7 linked regions of the Sus scrofa genome follow. The protein of the gene in region 1 binds, or shares a complex with, the protein of each later gene. Links are inferred from orthologs where the notes say so. Each region holds a gene or a part of one and is shown in the gene's direction. Other genes may lie near its edges.

Evidence for each region.
Region 2: RUVBL2 (region 1) and MORF4L1 share a complex: the UniProt entries of both Homo sapiens proteins name them as parts of the nuA4 histone acetyltransferase complex. The link is inferred for Sus scrofa from reciprocal best matches to the Homo sapiens genes RUVBL2 and MORF4L1.
Region 3: RUVBL2 (region 1) and MORF4L2 share a complex: the UniProt entries of both Homo sapiens proteins name them as parts of the nuA4 histone acetyltransferase complex. The link is inferred for Sus scrofa from reciprocal best matches to the Homo sapiens genes RUVBL2 and MORF4L2.
Region 4: RUVBL2 (region 1) and POLR2E share a complex: the UniProt entries of both Homo sapiens proteins name them as parts of the PAQosome complex. The link is inferred for Sus scrofa from reciprocal best matches to the Homo sapiens genes RUVBL2 and POLR2E.
Region 5: RUVBL2 (region 1) and PFDN2 share a complex: the UniProt entries of both Homo sapiens proteins name them as parts of the PAQosome complex. The link is inferred for Sus scrofa from reciprocal best matches to the Homo sapiens genes RUVBL2 and PFDN2.
Region 6: RUVBL2 (region 1) and UXT share a complex: the UniProt entries of both Homo sapiens proteins name them as parts of the PAQosome complex. The link is inferred for Sus scrofa from reciprocal best matches to the Homo sapiens genes RUVBL2 and UXT.
Region 7: RUVBL2 (region 1) and KAT5 share a complex: the UniProt entries of both Homo sapiens proteins name them as parts of the SWR1-like complex. The link is inferred for Sus scrofa from reciprocal best matches to the Homo sapiens genes RUVBL2 and KAT5.

The regions. Positions count from the first base shown.
Region 1 is NC_010448.4:54,260,485-54,264,238, forward strand, and holds the end of RUVBL2 (ruvB-like 2), read left to right. Parts: intron 1-195; coding exon 196-290; intron 291-392; coding exon 393-511; intron 512-1,654; coding exon 1,655-1,774; intron 1,775-2,150; coding exon 2,151-2,280; intron 2,281-2,653; coding exon 2,654-2,768; intron 2,769-2,896; coding exon 2,897-2,922; 3' UTR 2,923-3,008; downstream 3,009-3,754. UniProt on the Homo sapiens protein: Possesses single-stranded DNA-stimulated ATPase and ATP-dependent DNA helicase (5' to 3') activity; hexamerization is thought to be critical for ATP hydrolysis and adjacent subunits in the ring-like structure contribute to the ATPase activity.
Region 2 is NC_010449.5:48,070,376-48,074,140, forward strand, and holds part of MORF4L1 (mortality factor 4-like protein 1), read left to right. Parts: coding exon 1-90; intron 91-1,805; coding exon 1,806-1,894; intron 1,895-2,394; coding exon 2,395-2,567; intron 2,568-2,771; coding exon 2,772-2,856; intron 2,857-3,765. UniProt on the Homo sapiens protein: Component of the NuA4 histone acetyltransferase (HAT) complex which is involved in transcriptional activation of select genes principally by acetylation of nucleosomal histones H4 and H2A.
Region 3 is NC_010461.5:84,563,393-84,567,782, reverse strand, and holds the start of MORF4L2 (mortality factor 4-like protein 2), read left to right. Parts: upstream 1-1,478; 5' UTR 1,479-1,618; intron 1,619-2,742; exon of another isoform or gene 2,743-3,023; intron 3,024-4,390. UniProt on the Homo sapiens protein: Component of the NuA4 histone acetyltransferase complex which is involved in transcriptional activation of select genes principally by acetylation of nucleosomal histone H4 and H2A.
Region 4 is NC_010444.4:77,329,442-77,333,642, forward strand, and holds the start of POLR2E (DNA-directed RNA polymerases I, II, and III subunit RPABC1), read left to right. Parts: upstream 1-1,313; 5' UTR 1,314-1,444; coding exon 1,445-1,501; intron 1,502-2,838; coding exon 2,839-3,013; intron 3,014-4,201. UniProt on the Homo sapiens protein: DNA-dependent RNA polymerase catalyzes the transcription of DNA into RNA using the four ribonucleoside triphosphates as substrates.
Region 5 is NC_010446.5:89,325,426-89,329,756, forward strand, and holds the start of PFDN2 (prefoldin subunit 2), read left to right. Parts: upstream 1-1,355; 5' UTR 1,356-1,414; coding exon 1,415-1,489; exon of another isoform or gene 1,490-1,632; intron 1,633-4,331. Other genes in the region: NIT1 (nitrilase homolog 1), read right to left, coding at 45-299, 556-654, 1,224-1,276. UniProt on the Homo sapiens protein: Binds specifically to cytosolic chaperonin (c-CPN) and transfers target proteins to it. Binds to nascent polypeptide chain and promotes folding in an environment in which there are many competing pathways for nonnative proteins.
Region 6 is NC_010461.5:42,175,444-42,178,453, reverse strand, and holds the end of UXT (protein UXT), read left to right. Parts: intron 1-1,939; coding exon 1,940-2,003; intron 2,004-2,216; coding exon 2,217-2,267; 3' UTR 2,268-2,312; downstream 2,313-3,010. UniProt on the Homo sapiens protein: Involved in gene transcription regulation. Acts in concert with the corepressor URI1 to regulate androgen receptor AR-mediated transcription. Together with URI1, associates with chromatin to the NKX3-1 promoter region.
Region 7 is NC_010444.4:6,569,314-6,573,866, reverse strand, and holds the start of KAT5 (histone acetyltransferase KAT5), read left to right. Parts: upstream 1-1,647; 5' UTR 1,648-1,662; coding exon 1,663-1,840; intron 1,841-2,165; coding exon 2,166-2,234; intron 2,235-2,320; coding exon 2,321-2,457; intron 2,458-2,729; coding exon 2,730-2,885; intron 2,886-2,975; coding exon 2,976-3,050; intron 3,051-3,153; coding exon 3,154-3,228; intron 3,229-3,699; coding exon 3,700-3,948; intron 3,949-4,029; coding exon 4,030-4,119; intron 4,120-4,553. UniProt on the Homo sapiens protein: Catalytic subunit of the NuA4 histone acetyltransferase complex, a multiprotein complex involved in transcriptional activation of select genes principally by acetylation of nucleosomal histones H2A and H4.

The DNA.
Region 1 (3,754 bases):
GGGGGCGCCCCTGTACCCCCTCTGCCTCTGTTCTTCCTCTCTGGGGCCCCTCCGACTCCCCGGCCCTCATGTCGCGTAGCCACTCCAGTCTGGGTCTCTCTTCCCTCTGTGCCCGGCCTCCCATCTCTCTGGGTCATCGTCCCGCCTCCGGCCCTGGATCCCTGTCTCCTCTCTGACACCCCCCACAACCGGCAGGTGACACGGGGGAGATCAAGTCAGAAGTCCGAGAGCAGATCAACGCCAAGGTGGCTGAGTGGCGGGAGGAGGGCAAGGCGGAGATCATCCCTGGCGTGAGTACCTGGCCGAGGCCACGGCAGGCGGCCCGCGGGGGTTCGCAGGAGAAGAGGGGGCGCGGGAGGTGGATTTCATGTCCCCCCCCCGATGGCCCCCAGGTGCTGTTTATCGACGAGGTCCACATGCTGGACATCGAGAGCTTCTCCTTCCTCAACCGGGCCCTGGAGAGTGACATGGCACCTGTCCTCATCATGGCCACCAACCGCGGCATCACCCGGTGAGAACGGGCGTGCTGGGTGGCAGGAAGGCCACAGGGTTAAACAGGCCAGGGCTGCGGAGCACCTCGTTGGGGAGCTGCGCTGCTGTAGTGGGCTGCCCTCGGGCGCTGGGGCCCGGGCGGCTGGCGTACTTTCCCTCAAACAAAAGCAGGCGAGCGCTCGGGGCTGGTGGGTGCCCAGCTGCACAGGCGCTCTGGGACCCAGCATGCTCTGTCTTTTCTTGTTCCCAGAGGCCTCAAGGTTACAGATTCCAAACTGTGTGCCCAGGCAGGCACGCGGGGTGCTGCAGAGAACACAGGAGTGCTGTGGGTGTTTTCAAATGTTTGAGGGACACCTCGTGACATGAGTCGGGTGCTCTGTAAACCACTCCAATTAAGTCACTTAGATCCAACTACTTAGGAATAAACAGAACAAAACTTATTCCCCTTGGCCCAAGGATGCTAAGGAAAAATTCCTGACAGAGTTCCCCTTGTGGCTCAACAAGTTAAGAACCCAACTACTATCCATGAGGATGTGGGTTTGATCCCTGGCCTCACTCAGTGGGTTCAGGCCATTAGCTGCAGTGTAGGTCGCAGATGGGGCTCTGAGCTGAGCCCGTGTTGCTATGGAATCTGCTAGAGTTCCTGCTGTGGTGCAGTGGGTTCAGGATCCAGTGTTGTCTCTGCAGCAGCGTGGCTTTGATCCTCAGTCTGGTGCAGTGGGTTAAGGATCCAGAGTTGCTGCAGCTGCAGCTCAAGTTCAGTCCCTGGCCGGGGAACTTCCATATGATTCGGGTGTAGCCAAAAAAAAAAAAAAAAGGAATCTGCTGTTTCCTGGCACCTGCCATGTGCAGCAGGGGACAGGACTGTGCCAGTGGAGCTCTGTGTCAAGCAGAGAAGCGGGACCTTGAGCCGCTAATCCCAGACATAGATCTCTAGCTAAATCCAGCCCAGCTCTAGAGGGGGAGGGATGCAGTCAGGGGCCGGCTGTGCTGTCAGGCGGTGACGCCAGCCGGCCGGGAGCTGAAGGCCAAGCGAGTGGTATTTGACCCAGTGAGTGGGCCATGGCGGAAGGGGTGGGGAGGGCTGTCCGGGTAAGGGGAATGGGGAGCCGGGCTGTTAAGAGCACCACCCTGACCGCCCTCCCTTCCCCCTCCTGCCCAGGATCCGGGGCACCAGCTACCAGAGCCCCCATGGCATCCCCATCGATCTGCTGGACCGACTGCTCATCGTCTCCACCTCCCCCTACAGCGAGAAAGACACAAAGCAGATCCTCCGCATCCGGTGCGGGTGGGGCTGGTGTCCACCCTCTTTGGCCCATGGGGACCCCGAGGTCTGAAGGGGAGGTGGCTGGGCCCGCCAGAAGTCCTGCTGGGCTGGGCATCGAAGCAGTGGCCTCTGAGGAGGTTGTGAGGGTTGGAGAAAGGCGGGGGGGTGTTGGTGACACAGCTGGGGGAGGTGAGGGGGAGCCCAGGAGTGGGAGGGTCCGGAGGCCCACCCCAGGTTTAGGCTCAGCCGGTGCCTCAGCGGCCCTTGGCACTCAGCATCCTGTGCCTCTGAGAGTGAGACTCCACGTGGCCCCAGGAGGTGCAGCAGCGCCCCTTGGGGGAGGGCTCTGCGGCAGAGTCTGCACCCTGGCTGACCGCCGCCCCCGCCATAGGTGCGAGGAGGAGGATGTGGAGATGAGCGAAGACGCCTACACGGTGCTGACCCGCATCGGGCTGGAGACCTCCCTGCGCTACGCCATCCAGCTCATTACAGCCGCCAGCCTGGTGTGCCGCAAGCGCAAGGTCAGCGGCTGAGGGCGCCCTGGGGGCTTGGAGCAGTGAGTGGAGGGCCCGCTGGTCCCAGGGCTTTCCCTGGGCCACAGCCTTTCGTCCTAGGACTTGGGTTTCAGAGGCAGGGAGCTTCCGGTCTCTGCGCTTGGTTGCTGTGTCTCCTGGCCGGACGCCCGGGAGGCGCCGGGAGGCGCCGACTGAATAGCTATTGGCTGCACTCCGATGCCGTGAAGTCCCTTTTACAGATGAGCACACCAGGGGTGGAGAGGTGGGGGCCGTGGCCGGGCGGTGGCCCTGCTGGGATTTGACCCCAGGCGACCTGGCCCCAGAGTCGTTGCTCCCGCCCCGGGGGGGCCCCCCCTCTGAGGTCTGGCACCCCCATCAGGGCACGGAGGTCCAGGTGGACGACATCAAGCGGGTCTACTCGCTCTTTCTGGACGAGTCACGATCCACGCAGTACATGAAGGAGTACCAGGATGCCTTCCTCTTCAACGAGCTCAGTGAGTATCGGCCCCGCCGCCCACCGCCGCCCGCCCGCCGGCCCGCAGAGGGAGGGGAGCCCGGCCTGGAGAGCTCGGGCCCTGCCCTCTGGGCCACACCGACCACCTGGCCTTCCTTCTCCCCACAGAAGGCGAGACCATGGACACCTCCTGAGCCCACGTCACCCTCTCCCCCACCTCCCCTGTTTTCTACCAGAGTTCTGACACCGTGACTTTGTATAAAATGGTTCCGAAACTGGGCCCACTGTGTGGGTGTGGGTGTAGGTGTGTACATACGCACGTGCTCACACGCCCCAGCCCCCAGAATAGACAACCCCAGAGTGCAGGTGGAGCAGCCTTTATTGGTGGGGGGGAGCATCTGTGGGCCTGGGAGGCTGAGGCCGGGAGTCCTTAGAGGAAGAGGAGGCCTGGGAGTAGGGGGCGGTCACAGGCCAAGGGTTGGGCTCTGGGACCCCCACAGTCAGAGCTGCTGAGGCGGCAGGGCCCGCAGTGACAGCTGAGAGCCACGGGGAAGGAGACCGTTGGGTCCACGCCAGGCGGGCAGCCAGGGAGGCGGATGGAGGCAAAGCTCAGCTCTCGGTAGGTGCACACCGGCTGGGGCACGGGTGGCAGGGCAGCCGGCAGCACCCGCACCTGTAGGGGGTGGGGGCGGGGCTTGGGTGTCTACCTGGGGCCCAGCCCTCCCCCAAGGTCCCCCCTCAGTACCCCACAGACCCCAGACTCAGGTGTCCAGGGGACCCTCTGTGTTCTCCCACCCACAGGCCCCACTCTGACTCCAACTCCCCAGCCTCTGCCTAGAGGGGCAGGCCACCCTGCCGTCCCGGTGCCACCTCCTGTCTTCTGTGGGCCTGGCCCTGAGTAATCCACCCGGATCTGTGGTGGAGGCGGCACCCGTCTGCAGGTGCCCACCCTGCATAGCTCACCATGCTGGGACAGTAGCCGGCACAGATGCTGGTGGTAAAGGTGATGCAGACAGGGCAAGCCTC
Region 2 (3,765 bases), on another chromosome or scaffold:
ATGAACAGAGTTGAAGTTAAAGTAAAGATTCCTGAAGAACTCAAACCATGGCTTGTTGATGACTGGGACTTAATCACCCGGCAAAAACAGGTAACTTGAACACTACGCAGATCGGAATATATATATATGATCTTGTTAGGGTGAAAAGAAATTTTTTAAAAGAATAGGTAGTATAGACTTGAATGTTGAAGGTAGAACCATGTATTTTAATTCAGGGACTGAACAGTTTGATCATTGGAAAGGACCTGGAGAGGAATAAAACAAAAGTACATATATAAAAATCCATGATTTTATAAATCTTAAAAATTAAAAAAATTTAATTTTTGTCTAATGTTTAGTGCTGCACCTACAGCATGGAGAAGTTCCCAGGCTAGGGGTCGAATAGGAGCTGTACCTGCTGGCCTACACCACAGCCACGAGGGATCCAAGCTGTATCTGTGACCTACACCACAGCTCATGGCAGTGCCGGATCCCTGGCCCACTGAGCTAGGCCAGGGATCAAATCCACATCCTCATGGATACTAGTCGGATTTATTTCTGCTGGGCCACAATAGGAACTCCCCTGCAACTTTCTATGTAATGATGTAATATATAAGAAAGGGGAGGGGAGGCACTAAATTCTGTCTCCATGCCTCCTTGCTGCTTTTAACACTTAAATCCCATAAGCAAAGCGACATCATTACTCCTCATTTTACTTTTTCAGAGTCCCAGGCATCGACTTTGGCCCTCTAAGGGCTAGCTCCTGGCTAAGAGGAGGGGAGTCCATATGCGGACCAATAACCCTGCCCAAAGGCATTCGTCCAGCACCCAGTTAGTGTCCTCCCGCCAGTGCCCAGGCCTGGCGGAAGAGGCCTGTCAGCTAGCAGCACCCTCTGGGCCAGGTACCCAGAGCCTGCCCAGCTGTTGTCACTGAGGGAACAAGAGTCCCAGGACCTAGCCAACCCTTGTGCTCCTTAGGCCAAGCAAACTGGTAACCAAGCCCACAGACTGCTACCCAGGAAGACTGTCACACAGTTTGGTTGTGGAGGTGGTGCCTGGGCCCAGCTATTGAGCAGCTGCGGTAAGGGCTCTGGCGCTCTTTAGGACCCAGCCCTCAGCCTGTCCTCAGCCCCCCAGCTTACCTGCTGGCTGGAGGCCATGGGGCTTGGAGGGCCCTGGGGAGAAGGCAGAGATCTGCTTGTCACTGTACTCTACCCCAAGGACTCCCTTTTGGCAGACAGGACTTCTAAGGGTGTCTCACTAAAGGCCAAATGCTGATAGCTACACACCCACCTCACCCCTACCACTGTATTTTCTGGAACTATACTGCTAGGTTTATCTTGATACTACCACCCAGTGAGTTTGGGCAAGTTACTTGGCCTGTTCATGTTTTAGTTTTCATGTTTCTAGTGTAATAATGAGCCCCTACCTCATAGTATTGATGTGAGGTGAAGAAAATATTTAAATACTTAAGATAGCGTCTGCCACATTATGCAATACGGTGCATGATGACTTGGTACTAACACAGTGGTGCGTTTATGTATGGGTACGATCCATATATAGTGATAGTGTAGTGTGTCCAGCACATTGGTTACCAGTCTTTAGAGCTGTGCTGTCCAGTATGGCAACCATTAGTCACATTTGGCTATTGAAATAAAATGAAATTTTTAGTTTCTTAGCCATGTTTTGAGTGCAGAACAGTGCCCTTTTCTGTTTTGTCATACTATTAGGTGATTTTTTTATTGTATTAAAGCTTTTCCAGTAATCTTTCTCTTTTTTTTGAAAAAAGGAAATATTAGTATTAAAGTGTCTTTTTGTTTCCATAGCTGTTTTATCTTCCTGCCAAGAAGAATGTGGATTCCATTCTAGAGGATTATGCAAATTACAAAAAGTCTCGAGGAAACACAGATAATAAGTAAGAACATAAATGTCTTTGAAGTGTACCCAAGGATATTTCAGACATTTCTAAATAAATTATCTGAAACACGTACTTTAAATCAGTACCATCAGAAATTAGCAAAATAGAATTTCATTGCTTTGACACAGGGCCTTTGGCTGGGCAACTTTTTCTTAAAGGGCTGGGTAAGTAAATGTTCCAGGTAAAAACTGAAGCTATTGTATGTAAGTACATATAGAACCATTTAAAATACAGCTATTTTAAAATGTAAAAACCATCCCTAGCCTGAGGTCTGTAGTCTGCTTTCAGCTGGTTTATTTTTGGAATTGGTTTCTTGTCCTCTTTTTAAAATGTTCAGTAGAGGTTGAATTCCTTTTAGTCCTTTTAGTCCTCATGTTGGTTGACCTCATCCTCATCTCTCAGTTCCTTTTAGTCCTCATGTTGGTTGACCTCATCCTCATCTCTCAGTTCTTTTCAGTGACCTGCTTTGAAAGTAAATATTTTTGTTCATTTATCAGGGAGTATGCTGTTAATGAAGTTGTGGCAGGGATAAAGGAATACTTCAATGTAATGTTGGGCACTCAGCTACTCTACAAGTTTGAGAGACCACAGTATGCTGAAATTCTCGCCGATCACCCCGATGCGCCCATGTCCCAGGTGTATGGAGCACCACATCTACTGAGATTATTTGGTAAGAGGATTTTAAATATTTATGTCTTACCTAATTTATATCCAGGTGTAACATAAATTAACATTTTATCACATTTCAACTTGAGCTTTAATGTATAACAATCTACTTAAGGTCAGTTTCTAAAATGAGTGGTCCCATAATTGGGATATATTGTTATAGTGCTACCATGGATGTAACTCTGACTAAAGTCTTTTGTTTAAATAGTACGAATTGGAGCAATGTTGGCCTATACACCTCTGGATGAGAAGAGCCTTGCTTTATTACTGAATTATCTTCACGATTTCCTAAAGTAAGTCTGAAAGTATGTTTGAAATTAGTTCACTGAACTGAAAGTTATTATGTGATAGATTGACACTATAGATATTATAATAAAACAGTGTGATATTGGTATAGGAGTAGATAGTTAATGGAACAAGTATAAAACATACGGGAAAATCACAAATGATAGAATGGTGTATCAGAGCAATATGCCAGGAGGAAATGATGGAGTACTTAGTAGATGGTGATAAGAACAACTGTCTAGTATTTGGAAGGAAACAGAATTAGATCCAGACTTAATATCGTATACCCAAACTAGGTGAGTCAAAATTTAAATCTAAAATTAAAACTATTAAGGTAATAAAAGGGAAAATGTAGGGTAATAATTGATGATTTTATGTAGTAGGGAAAGGTCTTTCTAAAAATTAAATAATACAACAAATGAATGATGAATTGGACTATGTAAGAAGTTTAAGTTCTATGAAAAAAATAGGCTTTTAAAGATGAAGGGAATATATGTTTACATATATGTTAAAGGGCTGGTATCTTTAACACAGAGTTCTTACTAATAAAAAATTGAACAAACCAGTGAAAAGTTGGACATTGGAAATTCATGGAAATGTCAGTAAAAGGACCACCAAATTATGTTTAACATTATAATTAAAATAACCCTTGTCAGATTGGTTTATATTAAAAATATTAGCGAAGTGGAATAAAGGGCAATTCTGGTTTCTCCAGCTTTTTGGAGTGTATTTTGGCAGTGTATATAAAAATTCTAAATGTGTTTTACCCTTCGACCAGACAGTTACTAGGCTTCTGGGAACTTGAATGTACACACACAAAATAAGAATAATGGTGGGAGTTGCTGGTGGCCTAGCTGGGTTAGGGCTCCGGCACTGTCATTGCTGTTGGATGGGTTTTGTATACTGTGGGCACAGCC
Region 3 (4,390 bases), on another chromosome or scaffold:
GCAAGAGAGGAAACACATGAGATTTTATGTGGTATCTATAGAATGGAGATAAGGGAAGGTATGAAATCATCTAAATATTTCCATTTCCCTGCCCTCTTCTTGATGCTCTAATCAACAGTAGCCAAAGCAGAAAACAAGGTATCTGTAATGTATTTTGAGACCCTGAAAGACAAGCTGTTTTGGCTGAATAACAGAGTACTGGCAAGGGCTTGAGTTCAAGGGGCAGGTAAAGTTCAATCCTGGTTCCTGTACTTCTGTATGCACTTGAGAAAATAATTGACTCTGCTACACAATAATTTTTAATCTGTGAAACGGGACAGAGAACATGCAGGGTGTCTCAATAGAACATGTACTTTTTTTTTTTTTTTTTTTTTTTTTTTTGGCTTTACATTCTGCAGCACCCTCTAGTGGAGTGTACAAAAATAAGCATTTTATTTCTGCTCTTCAAAGCAGTGCTTTTTAACTTCGGTGTGCGCTGGAATAACCAGAACAGTTTGTTATCTGTCGTAACACAGAAAGCCAAACCCTACTCCTAGAATTTCTGACTGGTTAGGTTGGAGGTGAGGCCTGAGACTATAAATTTCTGACAACTTCCCAAAAGGTGATAATGATGCTACCGGTGAGTCTGGGAAACACACTTTGAGAACCTCTGCTCTAAACCTCACCCATTCCCCGGGGGGGGGGGGGGGTGTATGTGTGCGTATTTATGAGCGCATACCTGCGTGCATGCACACATGTATAGGATCTATAACTGAAAGAGGTACAACTTTTGTTTGATTTTGATTAGTATCCATCTAATAAGGATTTTGTGAAGAAGAAAAGAATATCTGTGTGAAGAATATGGTAACACTACCTAAAACACAGAAGGCATGCAAAAAAAAACCTGAAAGCACAGCATATAAATCCCAGGGCCTCAGAACTAGTAAATGGTGGAGTAAGGTTTAAAATCAGGTCTTTGACTCCAAAAACATAATACGGTTTACCAGTACCACTACAGAAAACAGGGTAGAAACACATACCTAATCATAATTTCAAGAGGAAAAGAAAATCAGTTTTCAGTAATTGGGTCCAAGTCCAGTAAAGATGTATGTCTTTACTAACTAAACAAGCCATCTATATTTTCACTTGGGGTGGGGGTGGGTAAGGGTGAGGGAAGCACTTGAAGTGAAGATCCTAACCCCAGAGACGCTTCCAATCTTCATCAGCACCAGTACCTCAAGTCTTTCATCAGTTCTGACTGCCCACCCCTGGCAAAAAAAAAAAAAGGCAAGAAAGAAAGAAGAATGGGAGGGGTGATTTTTTTTAATAAGGAAATGAGGTAAAACATTTGTATCTAGGGCCATAGTCTCCTGATAGAGCAATTAACAGAAATTAAATTGATTTTTCCCCAGCAATGAAATATATATGAGTGATTTCTATAGATTGAAGAGTTCAGCAAATCAGAAAGGGGGGGGGAATCCCATAATTCCAGGGACCAAACAGCCAATCCTTTGATGGAATTTGGCGGCATCTAGTGGCAGATGCAAAAGGTATAAACCTCATCCAGAGAACTTTCTGGAAAATTAACTGAGCGCGTACTTGCCTGAAGAGCACACTGCTTGGAGATCAGGAGTGAAAGGTAAGAGAGCCTCAACTCCTACAGAAATTGGGAGTCCCTAGTGGAGGGGAAGTCTGTTGTATATAGATATTCTCTGCAGAAAATTGTTTGTGCCAAGAGAATTGTACAAAACTTGGGGAAGGGGGGAGGGGAGGGAGCGGGTAAGAGGTGGGGAGAAGGTTATTAGGGAACAGGAAAGAAACTGTTTCGTGGAATTGCTAATATAGGAACGGGAAGGTTCGGCTTTTAACCACTGGAGGGCTAGGGTTTAATACAGGATTTTGACACGGAAAAAAACGTGGGAAGAAAGTGTAATTTTAGGGTTTAAAATTAAATCGATGAGAGATCGAAATATCCCTAGCAAAGACCCTTTATCTTAGTTACGGTCGCCTTGCCTTAACTATTTAATGATTTTCCTTTTCATCAGAACAATATTCAAACCTACGAAAGTAGAAAACGATTCTTACAGAGCGCGCGCCCCCGCACACATCCGTGCGCGCGCGTGTACACACACTCACACACACACACACACACACACACGAAGGCGCACGCACCCGCTCGGCGACACACAACGGCCCCAACGCTAGGGGCGCACGCCTGCGCACACCCGCCTCCAACGCCACGAGGCCTGGCGTTCGCGCATAAGCCATCCCCAAGGCCACGCGGGCTCGCCTGCGCACAAACGCCGTGGCCCTGACACCACACGGCCGCAGCACGCCGCCACCCGCCACCAGCATACACACCGAAACCCCACTCTGCCTTTTTTTTTTTCTCCAAGAGTTGCGCAAGAGGTTGGGGGCGTGGCCCCAGATTTGACCTCGCGCTTCCCCACTCGCGGGAACTTTAGCTCATTTCCGCCCATCCTGTTTCCGCAGGCCACGTAGACACTTCCTTTCCCAGTGGAAAAAAAACCCATAATGCCTCCCTGCAGGAAAAAAAAAAAAAAAAAAGAAAGAAAGAAAAAAAAAAAAAGAAAAAACCTCTGGTCAGAGGAACTCTGGGTCGTGAAAATAGGCCACGTGAACACCCTGCCCTATAGACTTATGACCCAACTGCTGTCGCGCTTTTGGGGGGCGGGCTAAGAACCTAAGAGGGCGAACGTCATTGGCCACAGTCCGCACTAAAGGAGGAAGGTGATTGGTTTTCCTCAAGTCTTAACCGTGAAGAAGCAGGTTGCTAGCACCCGCCTTTACTGCGGCTAAGTGTCATTGCTGACGTGGTGGGCTTCCACCAATCATTTGGTTATGGAACATTCTAAAACTTAGGCAAGACGATTGTGATTGGCTAGAGGGCGTAAGCCCGCCTCCAGGGTGACGTGTCTGCCTATGGATATCAGTTGCCAGAGAAACCTGGCTTTACTATGGCGGTTGGAGGGTCGGCAGTGATCACACGTCGGCTGCTGGAAAGAACTGGATTCTCGTTTCAGGTTTCGGGGTGGGGGTGGGGAGAAAGGGTTGCCGATTTCCTCTTATCGTTGCGTATATAGACAAGATTAACTGATGGCTTCACAATCAGGCAGAGCTAGATTCAAATGCCTACTCGCCAACGCCCAGCTTGGGCTGGCTCCCGTTCTTTCTGTGTCTCGGTTTCCATGTTTGTAAAATGGTGATAATAATAGTATCTACCTCAGAGACGTGTGCCTCAGAGGCGTGTGCTGTATATTAGTGCGTATAACTAACGAATGCAAAGTAATATAATATAATACGCTTAATAACTTAATATGAAGCCTGACTCCGGAAGATATTAGCTGTTATTATGGAGAGAAAAAAACGCGTAATAGAGAAAGAAAACATAAATTATGTAAAGTCGTTCATTATAGTGTTTTTCCTGCCCATCATCTCCTCCCCTAGAAGAAATTCGAGATATAAAAGAGACGTATCAGTTTTTACCGATGGAATAGTTTATTTGGGAATTGCCTCAAAATAGCGGGGATTGGAATTTTCCATATTGAAAAGTTTAAAAAAAAAGCGGCGGGGGGGATGGGGGTGGGGAGAGATGGAGAATGAGCGAGCTGGAGATGAACCACATGCGATGAGTAGGCCTTGTTTGGATCCTGATTCGGACACATTAACTATATTTTTTTAAAAAACTGTTTAAGATGCATCGGGATATTTTGAAGTCGTATTCAAATTCGATTTTTTGGGGGAAATTGATGACGATGTTTTAGACGTTAAAATGGTATTGTGGTTATGGTTTCAAATTGTCTTTAGCTTGTAGCAATATATATGAAAATACGGATTAAATAGTAAAATGTCTGAGATTGGCTTCAAAATATGTTGATATCTATGATTTGCTTCAAAATAATCTCAGCGGTAGGGGGACGTGGGGAGGGGTATAGATGAAACCAAATTGGCCCTAAGTTAATCGTTTAAGCTGAGTGATGGGCATATATGATTTCTTAAATTATACTGGCTTTCTTGGTATATGTTTGAAATTTTCCATAATAAAATACAGAAAGTCAGCTATTCACTGAGCTTGAAAAAAACGGAGTGGGGGGGGAGCAGTGGGTGGGGTTATAGATAAAACAAGATGGCCTTCAGTTGGTAATTGTTGAAGCTGGAGGATAGATTCGCATAGGCTTATAATATTATTCCCTCTACATTTTTATCCATTTGCAATTATCCTTAATTAAAATTTTTTAAAGGCAAAAACAAACTAGTTTATCAGAAATCAGGGTAAATTAGTTTATCAGAAATAAGGTAAATTTGAAAATGTAACCATAAGAAAGGAAAAAACACTTGTACGTTATTTGTCATCTTTGGTGTCCTTTGTGTGTGAAAAAAATGCATTGAT
Region 4 (4,201 bases), on another chromosome or scaffold:
ATGCTGCAGGTGCAGCCCTAAAAAAAAGACAAAAGACAAATAAATAAATAAATATTGAATCATTGAATAAATGTATTACCGAGTGAGAAGTTACTGATGGCCTCCACTGACACAGGGGCACTGGGCTGGGCAAACCTCCTGTATGAACCGGGGTGGTGTATGTGTGTGTGTGGGCAGATGTGGAGGTTGTAAAAACATGCACAATCTTGGGGGCTGTGGGGTATCCAGGGGCTGGGGTGGGCCTCAGGGGACTAGGAAAACAGAGATGAGTGCATTTCATAAGCAGTGGGAGCTATGCCAAGCTCCTCCCAAGCTAACAATCCCTTTAGGTCCTCAGCTAATCCTCTAAGACGGGGACACTTTATTATTTCCACTGTACAAAGTGGATAACTGAGGATCTAGGGCATTAAGTTGGACATGGCCCTGAGTCAACTGAGAAAACTCCCTGCAGTTGATCACACAAACACCTACGAACCATCTCTTAGTAAGTACGAACATCCTGGGAACCGAGCGTACCCAAGACCCTGTCAAGGCCTCAGTCTCCCCTTGCTTCTGCCTACCTGAATTTTTTTTTTTTTTTTTGCTGCACCCCCTCAGCATATGAAAGTTCCCAGGCCAGGGACTGAATCCAAGCCGCAAGAGTGATCTGTGCTACAGCTGTGGCAACGCTGGATCCTTAACCCACTGGGCCTGGGATCGAACCCGCGCCTCCGCAGCGAGCGACCCCAGTCACTGCAGGGACAACGACGGATCCTTAGTTCGCTGCCCCACAGCTGGAACTCCTGCCTCGCTGGATTTTTTTTTTCCCCTTAATTTTTTTTTATTACTCAAATGAATTTATCACATCTGTAGTTGTATAATGATCATAACAATCTGATTTCACAGGATTTCCATCCCACAGCCCAATTACATCCCCCCACCCCCTAAACTGTCTCCTCTGGAGACCATAAGTTTTTCAATGTCTGTGAGTCAGCATCTGTTCTGCAAAGAAGTTCAGTCTGTCCTTTTTTCAGATTCCACATGTCAGTGAAAGCATTTGATGTTGGTGTCTCATTGTATGGCTGACTTCACTTAGCATGATAGTTTCTACGTCCATCCATGTTGCTAAGAATCTGCCTCGCTGGATTCTAAACGTCCTCCCTAGGCGGGCGTTGAGCAGAAACTACGCCTCCAGAGAGGCCTTGCATTCAAAACCACGCGAGATCTACCGAGGAGCGGGTGAGTGGTGTTTGCCCTCTTTTCGCGCAGCCAACCGCCGCTTTAGTAAGGCTCGGGCTGCCCTTGGCTCTGCCCCTCCCAAAGGTCGCTGCATTCAGGCTTTAGCTGACTACAGCCCTGTAAGGGTTGGGCGAGGTGGAGGGGGCCTGACAGCGGCGCGGCGCAGGCGCAGTGGGCACGGGTCTTGCCGAGCGCAGGCGCTGTAAGTTCGAGGGGGGCGGCAGCCATGGACGACGAGGAGGAGACATACCGGCTCTGGAAGATCCGTAAGACCATCATGCAGGTGAGACGCGCGGGGGCTGCCCTTAGTACTAAGCGAACGCTGTCCGGCGCGCGGACGGCCAGCGCGAGGCCCGAAGATGGGAACGAGCTTTTCTATGTCTGGCCGCGCGGCTCAGGGGAAGGTTCTGGCCCAGGTGGGGCCCGTATTGGGCCGGGGACAGAGGGGCCCCGCCGACCACTGCTGAGTGGCGAGTCCGAGAGACGCCGGGGAGAGGGTCAGGGTTTCGCTGGAGCTGGAGGGAGGGAATTGGCCTCGCGTGTTCCTCTTTCCGGAAAGTTATGGCACTGTTTTGAGGGCCTGATACAGTATTCCAGGATTGTGGATATGGAAGGATCCCTGGTTAGCTGGTCTCAATGCTGTCTGGTTGCCCTGACAGCGCGCCCTGGCCACCAACTTTGAGCTACTCGGGCTGATAGGCTCCAAGTCATGCCAGCTCCCTAGCTAAGCGTTCTCTGTGTGCCACGTGCTTTAGGCTACTCCACGGGAGGGGGCGATTGTGATCCCACGGAGGCTTCGGGCCTTGACTAAGACCACCCACCCTCGCCACGGCGGGGATCCTGCCTGGACTAAGCTGGGGCAGTGGCACCCATATTCTCCACCTCCTTGCAGTGCTACCCAAAGACAGGGTAGGAACAGCGTTGCTTCAGGCTGACCGTGTCGCGGGCCCTGGGTGAGAAGAGTGAGCGCTCAAGAGGGAGAGTCCGGGAGTTCCTGTTGTGGCTCAGTGGTTAACAAATCCAACTAGGAACCATGAGGTTGCGGGTTCGATCCCTGGCCTTGCTCAGTGGGTTAAGGATCCGGCGTTGCAGTGAGCTGTGGTGTAGGTCACAGACTTGGCTGGAATCCTGCGTTGCTGTGGCTCTGGTGTAGGCTGGTGGCTACAGCTCGGTTTAGACTCCTAGCCTGGGAACCTCCATATGCCGTGGGAGCGGCCCAAGAAATGGCAAAAAGGGAGGAAAAAAAAAAAAAGAGGGAGAGTCCAGCTGTGGGGTACTTGGCTGAAGAAAGGGGATTCCGGCAGAGTGGGTGGCTTTCTCTTTGTCTGGGTGGTCATCCGGTCTGTCCACTCAAAGAATCCCAGTTTCTGAGTCAGGACCTAGATCTGCTGGCCCCCAGGCCTTGGCCTGGTTTTCCAATAGCCTTCTGCCCCAGGCAGCCCAGCAGCACCTCTCCCAGACAGCTGTCCTTTTCTGCCCCAGACCCAAGGGCCTGGCCTTGGAATCAACAGCCCTCCTCACATCCCAGCCCTGCTCCCATCTTCCCTGCAGTGGCCTTGAGCACCCTGAGCCTTTGCTGTTCTCTCTGCACCTTGGTCACCTGATTCTTTTTCTCTGCAGCTTTGCCACGACCGTGGCTACCTGGTGACCCAGGACGAGCTGGACCAGACGCTGGAGGAGTTCAAGGCCCAGTTTGGGGACAAGCCCAGTGAAGGGCGGCCGCGTCGCACAGACCTCACGGTGCTGGTGGCCCATAATGACGACCCCACCGACCAGATGTTCGTCTTCTTCCCAGGTGAGGGCCTGCTCAGGGCAGCAGCAGCCACCTGCCCTGACACGCAGTCTGTACCCCTCATCCTTCTGCCTCTCTGCTGTATGTAGTGCCTCCACTGAGGCAGCCTGGCTCTCAACCCCAAAGGTAGGGGACCATGCTGGGTCACAAGCACCTTGGGGGCCCACCCTGGTGTGCCTCCAGGCAAGGGAGAGTGCAGAAAATGCCTGCTGAGCAGACCCAGAGGGCACTTTTAAGATTTACTTTATTGAATTATGTTTTACAATGTTATGTTCTTTTCTGGTGTATCGTAAAGCGATTCAGTTACATGCACATAATTATTCTTTTTCAAATTCTTTTCCGTTATGGTTTATTATAGGATATTGAATATAGTTTTCTGTGCTGTACAGTAGGACCTTGTTGTATATCCACCGTATGCATATAAGAGTTTGCATCTGAGAGTTCTCTTTGTGGCTCAGTGGTTAATGAACCCGACTAGGATCCATGAAAGAAAAAAAAAGAGTTTGTGCTTGCTAATCCCAAAATCCCTCAGTCCCCTCCCCGTTGGCAACCACAAATCTGTTTTCTATGTGTCTTTCTGTTTCACAGCTCATTTGTGTTATGTCTTATCTTCCACATATAAGTGATACCATGTAGTATTTGTGTTACTTCATTTAGGTTACTTAATATGATAATCTCTGGGTCCATCCATGTTACTGCAAATGACATTATTTCTTTTTGCTTTTTTAGGGCCCCGCCCGCGGTTTATGGAGAGTCCCAGGCTAGGGGTTGAGTGAGAGCTATGCCACAGCCACAGCAGTGCAGGGTCTGAGCTGAATCTTGTGATCTACACCACAGCTCACGGCAATGCCAGATCCTTAACCTACTGAACAAGGCTAGGGATCAAACCTGTGTCCTCAAGGATACTAGTCAGGTTCGTTAACCTCTGAGCCTCGACGGGAACTCCGATATATGTGTTCTTATTGCCATTTTATTAACTGTTTTGGGCTTGGGTTTTTTGTCTTTTTTCTTACCTTCTCTTGTGGCTTGATAACTCTTTTTTTTTTTTTTTTTTTTTTGTCTTTTTGCCATTTTTTTGGGCTGTTCCCACGGCATATGGAGGTTCCCAGGCTAGGGGTCTAATAAGAGCTATAGCCACCTTCTCCACCAGAGCCACAGCAACGGGGGATCCGAGCCGCGTCTGCAACCTAC
Region 5 (4,331 bases), on another chromosome or scaffold:
TTACCCAAAAAGAAACTACCTCTCCCTCCCCCTTTCCCTGATACCTGGCAAGCTGGGTATATTCTCCCAAAAGTTTCCCACCCAGTGGCTCAGACAGGCGTAGCGTCTCTTCAGGGTCCCTTCCAATGAAGTCAAATGCCTCAGGCAGGAAAGCCAGGCAAGCGCCCAGTCTGGCAGCCTCTCGAACCAGCTCAGCACATGTTTTAAAGTTCTGCTGCTTGTCCGGTGTGGATGTTACCTGGCACACAGCCACGAGGGGCAAGTCCCAGGAGGAAGAGGAAATAGCCATGGATCTGGGTCTGTGAATGGCACAGGCAAGACTCAGATTTCCTAGAGTGGGGAAGCCCGAGTTTAATGATAAGGGGCTTAAAGGGGGAGGCAGGAAAGCTAGACTTCCCTTTAAACCTGCTCTTACAAGGCACAATGATCCATGCAATAAGGACCCACTGATCAAATGTTCTGTGAGTGGCTGGCACCCCAATGTTTCCCAACATCTATTCATTTATTGAGCATCTACTATGTGCCAGGCACTGAGGACACAACAAAACATGTTACCTGGGCTGAGCACAAAGTATTGAGAGTCGAAGTATCCGGAGCCGAGGACCCAAAAGAAGGGACAGGAGCTGGTGAGGAGGCCTGATGATGAAGCCCAGCCTGAAGAAGGTGAGAAATCAGGACACCAACCCCACCATCAAGCAATACATTTCTAAGATCCTTTGGTTTCTCTCTTCATACTGTGAGGCTGAATCTGGGCACCACCGGTAAAAACCCCTAAGTCTTTAAGACACTCGTTAACTATGGTTAATCACGGCTACCGGAAGAGAGCACAAAGTGGGAAAATCGAGGAAAGGGCTCTGCGCAGCATTCGAATATCTCGACTTCCAGTGATCTCACATTAAACTGAAGTCCTTTTTCTCAGCCAAACGTTTCCGCAGTTCAAAAGTCATCCTCGAGATATTTCCTTGATTTTCCCAGCCTCTCTTATTGACTGTGCACCTGCACAGTTTTACTGACTCAAAGCATATTTTCCCCCTTCCACCAGAATCTCTGAGAAGTTCACCCTACCCCACCCCGCCGCCCGTGCCTCACCACCCGCTGTGTGGGCAGAGGGCACTGGCACCCAGATCCCAACCCGCGCCCCGCTCTCCAGTTAACCCATCTGGAGACTCTCTCAGGGGCAGCGTCTCTGTTGCACAAGATAAAGCACCACAGGTGTAATTCACCGCGGCGGGCGGGCTAGGTAGCAGGTCCTACATGAAGGCACGGCCAAAACCATTAACAGGATCCGAACCGAACAGGGGCCTGGAAGAAGAGGAGCCTGGCGCCGGGGGCGAGTGGGCGGTAACTCCGAGACCGGACGTGACGCAAGGCGGGGGCCGAGCTGCGCAGGCCGGAAGCTCAGCAGGCGGTGAAGATGGCGGAGAGCAGCAGTCGCGCCGGCAAGAGCAGCGGGAGCGGCGCGGGGAAGGGGGCGGTGTCAGCCGAGCAGGTGAGGAGCTGGGAATGCGAAGGAGGGCAACCCGGCCGGGTCCGGAGTCGATGCGAGAAGAGGGGAGAAGCCTATGGTTGGTGTACGCCTTTACTATAGTCGCACATTTGCGTGGCCACCCAGAGAGGGGAAGGTCCTTGTAGAAGCTAGCCGAGCCCTTGGGGAGAGATAGGCGGATTGGTAGGTGAAAGCCACGCCCCCTTGGGGGTGTTGGGTGAGCCGAGGGGTGGGAGGGAGGAAGCTCTAGGGAAGCAGAGTCTGGGAGGTTGCACAGGTCTGAGGGAAGAAGGGTGGTCACTTTCCCCACTTTGCCTCCGCACTCTCAAACAGGCTGTGGGTGAGCAAGGCCAGTTCATAAGGAATCCCAGGGAGTTAGTCAACGGGTTGATTGTGTAGTCTGTTACGTGACCCTGAAACCACGTTTAAAACCGTCGTCACTCCGCAGAGCCACGTGACTCACATACGCGAATAGTCTAGTGTTCCATACTATTTTGATTCGGGAGTCATTATTGCACTGAATTTATTTAGAGACCAGAAATCCTTTACTAATCCGAGCTTACATTTCCCCAGTGCCTAGCATCCGGAAACGATTGAAAAATAATCAGAAAGCCCTTTGTTGCTTGGGAATCATGATTTACTAATAGTGGATCTAGTGTTTACTTGGAGTGGGAAGAAATCTGCGTAACAGAAAGGAAAACGTAGTTAAAACAACAGCTTTTTTGGTTATAGGTTCATTTATCAGTTATTTGTTAAACAGTTACTGTAGCAGAGGTATCTGCATAAAGATTTTAAAAATTGACCCGTGCAATCAGAGTTCATAGTCTGGAGGGGAAAATGCTAGTATGAGGTAGAAGAGAGATATACAGCCCTATGGGATTTGGGGGAAGGGGGAAGAGAAAATTCCTCTTAGGGGGAAAAAGGCAAGGGAGAAGGAACCTAATACTTTTTGAGGGTCTGCCGTGTGTTAGACATTCTGCTGGGTATGGGGAAACATAAATGAAATACGGCCTTGTAACCTTGTTTTCAGGTTAGCTCACAGACTCATTTGCAAAAAGAAACCAAACATTAAGCTTTACAGTGTTCTTCACAGGGCTTTTTCTTCTTTTTTAAAATTATAGTTGATTTACAATGTTTTACCAGTTTCTGCTGCACAGCAAAGTGACTCAGTGGTACCTATAGGTACATTCTTTTTAAAAATATTATTTTCCATCATGGTCTATCCCAGGAGATTGCATATATCCATTCTAAATGTAATAGTTTGCATATACTAACCCCAAGCTGCCAGTCTATCCCACTCCCTCCCCTCTCCCCCTTGGCAACCACAGGTCTGTTCTCTGTGTCCTCACTGGGCCTTCTGCTAGAGGAGGGACCCCTAACTAACTAAGCAGGAGATTGAGATTGGGGATTGGGTGGTAAAGGGAAGTGTGGAAAAGTGGGGTGGCTAAGAGTGTAAGGAGTGCAATGGGTTCAGACAGATCTGTGTTTGAATTACATTTCTACCTTTCACTGTTACTTTCAGATTAGAGAATTATGAGTTTATGGATAGTGGACAAAGCCATGGTTGTGGAGGAAATCCTCTAGAGTTTGCACAGAAAGTGAACAAAGAAGTAGAATAAGAGTGAAATCAATAGTTAAGTGATGGTAGAGAAAAAGAAACTCAAAAGAGACTGAAGAATTTTGATAATTGAGTTCTGAGGCCATTCCTTGCTTAATATTCTCTGACCTTTTTGTTCCAGAGAGAACACTGGGTAAAAAAAAATATTATAATTGTCACTGCTGCAAATTTGAGCCACATAGGCAAGATGGAAGCAAATAACACATCAAACTAGGCACTTGTTTTATCTTCTGTTATTTAATTACTGCTATTTGAAGTAGCTGTATTATTGTCAGGATGAGTTTCAGACTTAATTAACTTACTCAGAGTCAGTAACTGGGAGAGCAGGGCTTTTAAATGCAGAACTTGTGAATTAGACAGGCCTATTTTTTCTATTTGTACCATGATCATATTAGAGATATTTGAGCTGAGCCTGAAGGATTGGATAGATTGGAACAGGTGGCAGTAGAAATAGAATATAGAGAATCAAGAAAGGAGGGGAGATCTGGGAAAGCATAGATTGAGATGGAGTGCAGTGACTGATTTGTTTTGCTAAATCATGAGTCAGAAAGATGTCCTTAAAACAAGCTGAGTCATTGCATGACAAAGAATTTAGGACTTTTTAACATAAGCAGTGAGGGTGTCATAGAATGATACATGTTATACTGTTGATTTTTTTTTTTTTTTGTCTGTTTGTTTGCCTTTTAGGGCTGCACCCTTGGCATATGGAAGTTCCCAGGCTAGGGGTCAAATTGGAGTTAAAGCTGTTGGTCCTACACCACAGCCACAGCCATGTCAATGCTGGGTCCCCAACCTGCTGAACAAGGCAGGGATGGAACCCATATCCTCATGAATATTAGTCAGATTTGTTTCCACTGCACCACAGCAGGAACTACTGATTTTTTTCTTATTATGTAAAATAATACACGTTAATGTAGAAAATGTAGAAAACACAAGAAAAATTACAAAATAAGAAATAAATTATCCATGATCCTACTATCCAGAAATAACTATCCTTACCATTTTTGAATGTATTTTTTTTTTTTTTTCTTCCCATTTTTAGCTGTCCTGAAGCACATGGAGCTCCCGGGCCAGGGATCAGATCTGAGCCCCAGTCTAGACCTCAGCTGAAGCTGTGGCAGTGCTGGATCCTTAACCCACTGCACCACCAGGGAACACCCCTCCTTATGTTTTTGTGTATGTGTGAATAGATGGAAGGAGATGGCATGTGTGTATTACAAATTTACA
Region 6 (3,010 bases), on another chromosome or scaffold:
AACAATGAAGTAGATTTTCTGAAGATGTAATTAAAACTCCCAAGGCTGGAGTTCGGGGGAGAGGGCTGGACTGAAAATATAAATTTGGGGAGTTCCCTGGCGGCCTGGTATTTAAGGACCTGGTGTTGTCACCACTGTGGCTCGGGTTGCCACTGTGGCACAGGTTCTATCCCTGGCCGGGGAACCTCTGCATGCCCCCACCCCAGCCAAAGAAGAAAATACAAATTTGGGAGATAGTGGAGTTCCTGCTGTGGTGCAGCAGGATCGGCCACATCTCTGCAGCACCAGGCTGCAGGTTCGATACCCAGCCCGGCACAGCGGGTTAAAGGATCCAGTGTTGCTGCAGCTGCAGCATAGATAGCAGCTGTGGCTTGGATCTGATGCCTAACCCAGAACTCCATATGCTGCGGGGGAGCCAAAATAGAAAAACTGGGGGGAGATAGTGATACATAAATGAGTTTACACTCTTTTTTTTTTTTCCAATTTAACATCCTATGTCGTTGCCTTCTACTTTTCTTAACAGTATTTAGTTTCCCCAAAACTGACTCTTACGTTGACAGGATAACTCGGCACAATAGAATCCACCTTCCTTATCAGGATATCAAGACCGTGCATGATCTAGCCCTTGCCTACCTCTTGGATCTTGTGCCACTTTCCTTCCACCATTCACTTACTTTCTAACACTGGCCTCCTGATTGCTCCTCTAGAAGCTCTTTCCGGCCTCTCGGACTTCTTGTGAAAGACTGTCCTGTTTAACTCTTACTCATTCTTCAGAAAGGCCTTCTTTTATCCTTTGCATCACTTAGGCTTCTTTTGGGTGAGCCTGGTCGCAGTTGGCTTAGATGTCAGGAGGTAGGAATGGGCTGGTTGGCGTAGCTCAACAGCCCAGAGCCAGAGTGGTCCCGCTTTCCAGTTGCTTTAAGCCTTGGTGTCTTCCTTGAGTCCTCTCTCTCTTGCATCCAACATCCTCCTTTGGTAAATCCTATTGACTCTACCTTCAAAGAAGTATCCCAGCTCCAATCATTTCTCATCCCCTCAACCGCTGCCACTGCGGTCCGAGTCTGCATCTCTCACCTGGACGATTCCGACAGCCTCTGCAGTGGCCTTCCTCTTCCACACCAGCTGTCCTTATCCCCAGTCGGTTCTCCACACAGCAGCCAGATGGATCCTCTGAAACCCTAGTCATTTGACCTCCCTTCTCTGATCACAATACTCCCCTTGCTCCCATCCCACTTAGAGTCAAAGCCAGAGTCCTCACCATGGCCTGGTAGATTTTACACGAACTATCTCCCCCACTTACCTCCGTGACCTCGCCTCCTCTACCTCCCCACTTCACTTTTTCTTCTCCAGCCACACTGGCCTCTTCGCTGGGCCTCAGACATGCCAGGTACGCGCCCACCTCAGAGCCTTTGCACTCTCCACCCCTTGTGCCTGGAACACACATCCTCCATATGTCCACATGACTCGCTTCTTTGTTTTAAGTCTCTACTCAAACGCTTCTCAGTGAGGCCATCCCTAAGCACCCTAATTCGAATTCCAGCCCCCACTCCTGTACTCCCATATCCTCTCTCATTTAATTTTTTTTTCATTATAATTTTAACCATCTGACATACTCCATATTTTACTCCATCATCTGTCCCCCTTAATGAGAATCTGAGCTCCAAGAGGCCGAGATTTTCGTTTGCTATGTCTGCTGCTATCTCCCCAGTACCTAAAACAACCTGGCATAGAGTAGGCATTCAGTAAAGGTCTTGGAATCAGTGTAGTGCAGATGGCGGCCAGGCATGTCTGCCTAGGAGCAGGCCAGGTAGTAGGGGTCCCACCACCTGCCGTGTGGAAGTCATCCAGGACTTAGGCGGTTCTTGAAGCGGTGAGGGCACATCATCCTCACGGATCCTAAGTGGGGCCCACCTCGCCCTTTCTCGTTTCTTTTCTCCAGGCTCAGCGACAGCCTCACCAAGGACTCCATGAATATCAAGGCCCATATCCACATGTTGCTAGAGGTGAGAGCAGCTCACCCCACTCCCAGACTCTATCTCCAAATATTTAGGGTGGTGTCCTGAGGAAGGGAGAGAGCCAGAGATGGGAAGGGCCATCTTTCCCTCCAAATGAGTCAGACAGGAACCAGGCTGGCTCTGAGGGAAGGGAGTTCCAAGCAAGCCTGAGGTGGGGCCTGGACCCAGTCTCCGTTCAATCTCTTCTGTTCTCTTTTTCAGGGGCTTAGAGAACTACAAGGTCTGCAGAATTTCCCCGAGCCTCGCCACTGACTTCTTCCTACCTCCCTTGACATTAAAGAGCCTGAATGTCTTTGAGTCACGTGGCCCTTCTTTCCCCCATTAACTTCTGCTGTTGGCTAAAGTGCCGTTTCTAAAGCACAATGTTACTGGGAGGCGCAGAGATCCAGTCTGTGTAGAATCTTTAAAGCACCACTGAAGTGCCGCCTCCAGCCTGTTTCCTGGCAGAATGTGCCACCTGACTTTCCGCTCTGCCCTCTCTACCATCGCCTTGGCAACCTGGGCCCCCACCTGACCCTTCTTTCTATTTCCTTTCCTGTGCACTACTGCTTGAATTAACCATAGAGAACGGGCCGATTCAGGGTGGCGGTTTGTTCCCTAAGGCAATCAACCTTTCACTCCTGGCCCTAAAGTTTACCCTTCTCCCACACTCCAATCGTTCCTCAGGTAACTTAAATTACACCCACGCCCGTCTAGGCCCAACCTTGGCCTTGTCCCAGCTTCTAAATAGTTACAGCTCCAGCAATGGGCGCAGGGCCGATCTCGCCCGCCCTCCCTGGTCCGGTCCTCATTCTAGGCTGAATCCAGCTTCCGCCAATCGATACAGAGCCAGGTTCCACCCCTTTATTACTGGCTGCAGCTCGACCCTGCCCTTGTAGGCATTTCGTTTCCACCACTCAACACTCCTTCGCACGTCTGGCAGCTGTCCTGCCCTCCTTCCTCTGCTTCGTTCTAAATTCGTCTTTTCTAGCCAATCGCCACAGAGTTAGCCTGCC
Region 7 (4,553 bases), on another chromosome or scaffold:
AGATGAAGTGGTGGGCAGATCTGACTTGGGGAGTTAGAGGTGGCCTCATGAGGAAGGTGACATTTGAGCGGGATGAGGGAGAAAGACAAGTGGATAAATAGAGAGAAAATGTTGCAGGAAGGAAAGAGCACAGGACCAGGGGGAGGAATACGCCTGCTGTGTTCTAGAAACCCTGGGAGGTCAGTGTGGCTAGAGTGAAGTGAGTGGGGTGAGAGAAATGCTGACGGGCTGAATGGGAGAAGAGCAGAGGTCTTCTTGACTTCAAGGTTTTTGGTCTGAGAAACTGAATGGACCAGCTCATCAGTGAGGGAGAAGAAAGAAGGTGGGAGGAGAAACCAGAAAGGCAGATCTGGAGTTCAGTTCAGGACATGCCCCTGGTACATCCAAATGGGGGTGTCGAGTAGGCAGAGAAAGTCGAGGGAGATCTGGGCTGAAGATACAAATTTGAGAAACCTCAGAAACCTGGGAGCGGCCTTAAAAAGCAAACAAACAAACAAACCAACCCATTCTTAGTACATTTGCTGTAGGAAAGCTAGCAGAGGGTTGGATTTGGCCATTTTGCCTATCTGGCCCTTTCCTTCACCTGGTGCTTTTTTTCTTCTTTGAGGGGGCTTTCTCAAAACACTTATCATTATTTAATAGACTAGATAATTTATTTTTTAACGCTATTAACCAGGTGTTACCTATGCCCCTCTTTTCCCTCCCAACCTCCAAGAAGGTAAGCTACAAAAGGAGGGAATCCTTGGGAGTCCCCATCATGGCTCAGCGGTTAACGAATCTGACCAGGAACCATGAGGTTGCAGGGTCGATCCGTGGCCTGGCTCAGTGGTTTAAGGACCCAGTGTTGCCTTGAGCTGTGGTGTAGGTCGCAGACGCGGCTCGGATCCCAAATTGCTGTGGCTCTGGTGTAGGCCGGCGGCTACAGCTCTGAATCGACCCCTAGCCTGGGAACCTCCATATGCCGTAGAAGCGGCCCTGGAAATGGCAAAATGACAAAAAAAAAAAAAAAAAAAAAAAAAAAGGAATTCTTTATTTACTGAGGTATTCCAGGCTCCTAGAACAGTGCCTGGTACGTGGCAGGTGATTTACTACACATTTGTTGAATGTATGCATGAATGATGTATTACTCCTGTAATTAGCAACCTACTATACAAAACAACAAACCTACAAACCTTCCGTGAGTTCCCAACCCCAAGGAGTTAGGGCCACAAACTTGGCGAGGGTTTTAAGTCCCTCAAGTCCCACCCACTTCTCCAGCCCCTCAAACCCTCAAGACCCGCCCCAACCCCCAGCCGGGCACGCGCAGTTCACTCCCCGAGACGCATCCTGCGGCCACTAGGAGACGCCCAAACCCGGCCGCCGGCGAAGCAAACACCAGTCCCACGTGACCGGCGTCGCACCCGGTGAGCGTCACGTGACGGACTCAGTTTTCCTCCAATCGTTGTGCACGTTGTGGGGATTCCACCGAAGACCTGGTTTGAGACTTACAGTACCCTATTCCCCCGCCAGCCAAACGGGCCGGCTCCATGAGCAAGCTGGGTTGCGGGGTCTCTCCAGGGTCCTCTCCTGAAGCCGGTTTGGAGAGACCTGGGCCTACAAAGTGCTCGGTCCCGGAAGTGACGTCTCCCAGAGGGGCCGGAAGTGGCAGTGGAGGGAGGGAAGATGGCGGAGGTGGTGAGTCCGGTGCCCGGGGCGGGGCGGAGGGAGCCAGGGGAGGTGGGTAGAGCCCGAGGCCCCCCAGTAGCCGACCCTGGCGCCGCGCTGTCTCCCCAGGGGGAGATAATCGAGGGCTGCCGCCTGCCCGTGCTGCGGCGGAACCAGGACAACGAAGATGAGTGGCGTGAGTGACGTCGGGGGGCGGGGCTAAGGAACCTGAGGGCGAGGGGCGGGGGGAGTCAAGCGAACCCCAGGGAGGGGGAGGGGCCTCTAGAATCTTGGGGCGGGCGGGGCGCAGATATTCACGAGGGGCGTGGCTTTTAGCCGCTGGAGATGGACAGGGCGGGGCTTGGAGAAGGGAATGACACTTGGTGACTAATGGGGGCTTGGGCGAGAGCTTCCAAGTGCTGAGGCTCAGGGATCGGGCCTGGAGGTGGAGTTCAGGTTGTAGAAGGGCGGAGCCTCATGGCCTGGCCGCTCTAAGGCCGTTCCCTGTGCTGTGCCCACAGCCCTGGCCGAGATCCTGAGCGTGAAGGACATCAGTGGCCGGAAGCTTTTTTACGTCCATTATATTGACTGTGAGTTCTGGGCCGGGATGAGGTGGGGCTAGGGTTGCGGGGGGCAGCCTCTGGCACTCCTTCCTGAGCCATCCCCACTGCTGCAGTCAACAAACGCCTGGATGAATGGGTGACTCATGAGCGGCTGGACCTAAAGAAGATCCAGTTCCCCAAGAAAGAGGCCAAGACCCCCACCAAGAACGGACTTCCTGGGTCCCGCCCCGGCTCTCCAGAGAGAGAGGTGGTGAGTAGGTCCCCTGCTTCAACTTTTCTCTCCTGCCTCCTACTTCTCTCATCTCTTGGCCTCAGTGGCTCCCAGCTGGGCAGGAGGCTGTGCCCTCCCACCCTGGCTTCAGCTCGCAAAGGATGGGGGCCAAATTGCAGATGTAGCTTCCAGAGTCCAGCGTCCTTGAGAGGGGCGGGGTTTGATCATTACACACTGAGGGGCCCCTACTCCCCTTCCCCATCCCACCACCATCCCCACCCCAGAGGAAGACCCTGGACCTATCTCTACAGCCGGCCTCCGCCCAGGCCAGCGGGAAGACCTTGCCAATCCCGGTCCAGATCACACTCCGCTTCAACCTGCCCAAGGAGCGGGAGGCCATTCCCGGTGGCGAGCCCGACCAGCCGCTCTCCTCCAGCTCCTGCCTGCAGCCCAACCACCGCTCAACGGTACCCTCAGCAATTCCAGGGACCTTGCTTTCCTCTCAGGTCCCACCTTCCCTACCTTCTGACCCACCTTTCTTGGTTTCTCTTCTGCAGAAACGGAAGGTGGAGGTGGTTTCACCAGCAACTCCGGTGCCCAGCGAGACAGCCCCGGCCTCAGTTTTTCCCCAGGTGAGTCCCCCAAACCATCTCTTTTTCCCTCCCCTTCTACCTTCTGGTAGCCCCTTTCAGGTGCATCTCACAGCTACTCCTTTTTCTTTCATCTCACCTTCAGAATGGATCAGCCCGTAGGGCAGTGGCAGCTCAGCCAGGGCGGAAGCGAAAATCAAATTGCTTGGGCACTGACGAGGTGGGTCTGGGGAAGAGGGAAGCGGGGTGAAAAGTAGGGGACAGGGGGTTCCCTAGGTGGGTAGCAATTGGAAATCAGTGTGCGCTCACTGCTGTGCCCCTGGGTTCAATTCCTGGTTTGAAAACTGAGATTCCCACATCAAGCCACTGCATGTTGTAGCTAGGAAAAAAAAAAAAAAAAAGGAGTGGACGTAGGCAGGGCAGAGAGTTCAGTGACTCGTTGGAAGATGAACAGAGTGTGCTGGGTTGAGGTGGTGTTGGGATTAGGAGTGAGGCAGAACTGGTTCAGATCAAGCATTGGGTCATCTTTTCCAGTTTCCAATGAAAATTGTCCAAGTCTTGGTTTCTTTAACTGGAAAGTAGGGGTTATGGTATCTTCCCCACTAGGAAACCCGTGGGAGGGCTGTGAGCCAGAGAGTGTCCTGCTTGAGTTGTCTCCTGTAACCTGGCGTCTTTCCGTGGCCCCGGGCAGGACTCCCAGGACAGCTCAGACGGAATACCCTCGGCTCCTCGCATGACTGGGAGCCTGGTGTCTGACCGCAGCCACGACGACATCGTCACCCGGATGAAGAACATTGAGTGCATCGAGCTGGGCCGGCACCGCCTCAAGCCGTGGTACTTCTCCCCGTACCCGCAGGAGCTCACCACCCTGCCCGTCCTCTACCTCTGCGAGTTCTGCCTCAAGTACGGCCGAAGCCTCAAGTGTCTGCAGCGTCACTTGGTAGGAAGGGTCCCAGGAGGCCGCCTTCCTAGCACCCCTGCCCTGCCCTGGCCCTGCCCCTGATTCTCCTCTCCTTCTCAGACCAAGTGTGACCTGCGACATCCTCCAGGCAACGAGATTTACCGAAAGGGCACCATCTCCTTCTTTGAGATCGATGGTCGTAAGAACAAGGTCAGTGGCTCAGGGGCCGTGGGGAGTCTTTGGTGCAGGGAGTCAAGTGAGTGGCCTTTTCCAGCTCAGGAAAGCACTGACCATTTTGGCTAACAGATCTATTCACCCCATTTATTCACTTAGGGCAGGTGTGGGAGATACAGAGTGACCAGCAATTAGACAGGATCTCTGCTGAGGGCTCACAGGAGAAGGCAGACATGCTAGGGGCTTCTTAGATCCTAGCGTGATACATGTCGTGAGACAAAGTGTGAGTTATCAGGATCCAGAGGAGGGGACCTTTGAGCCTGGGTAAGGGGGGTACAGGAATCCGAAACCATGGGTTCTGAAGGGGAGGAATGGATGGCTCTGCAGGTTCAGTTCCAGACCAGAGCAATGAAGCAAATATCATAATAAAGCAGTCACACAAGTTTTTTTGGTTTCCAAATAAGATTTAT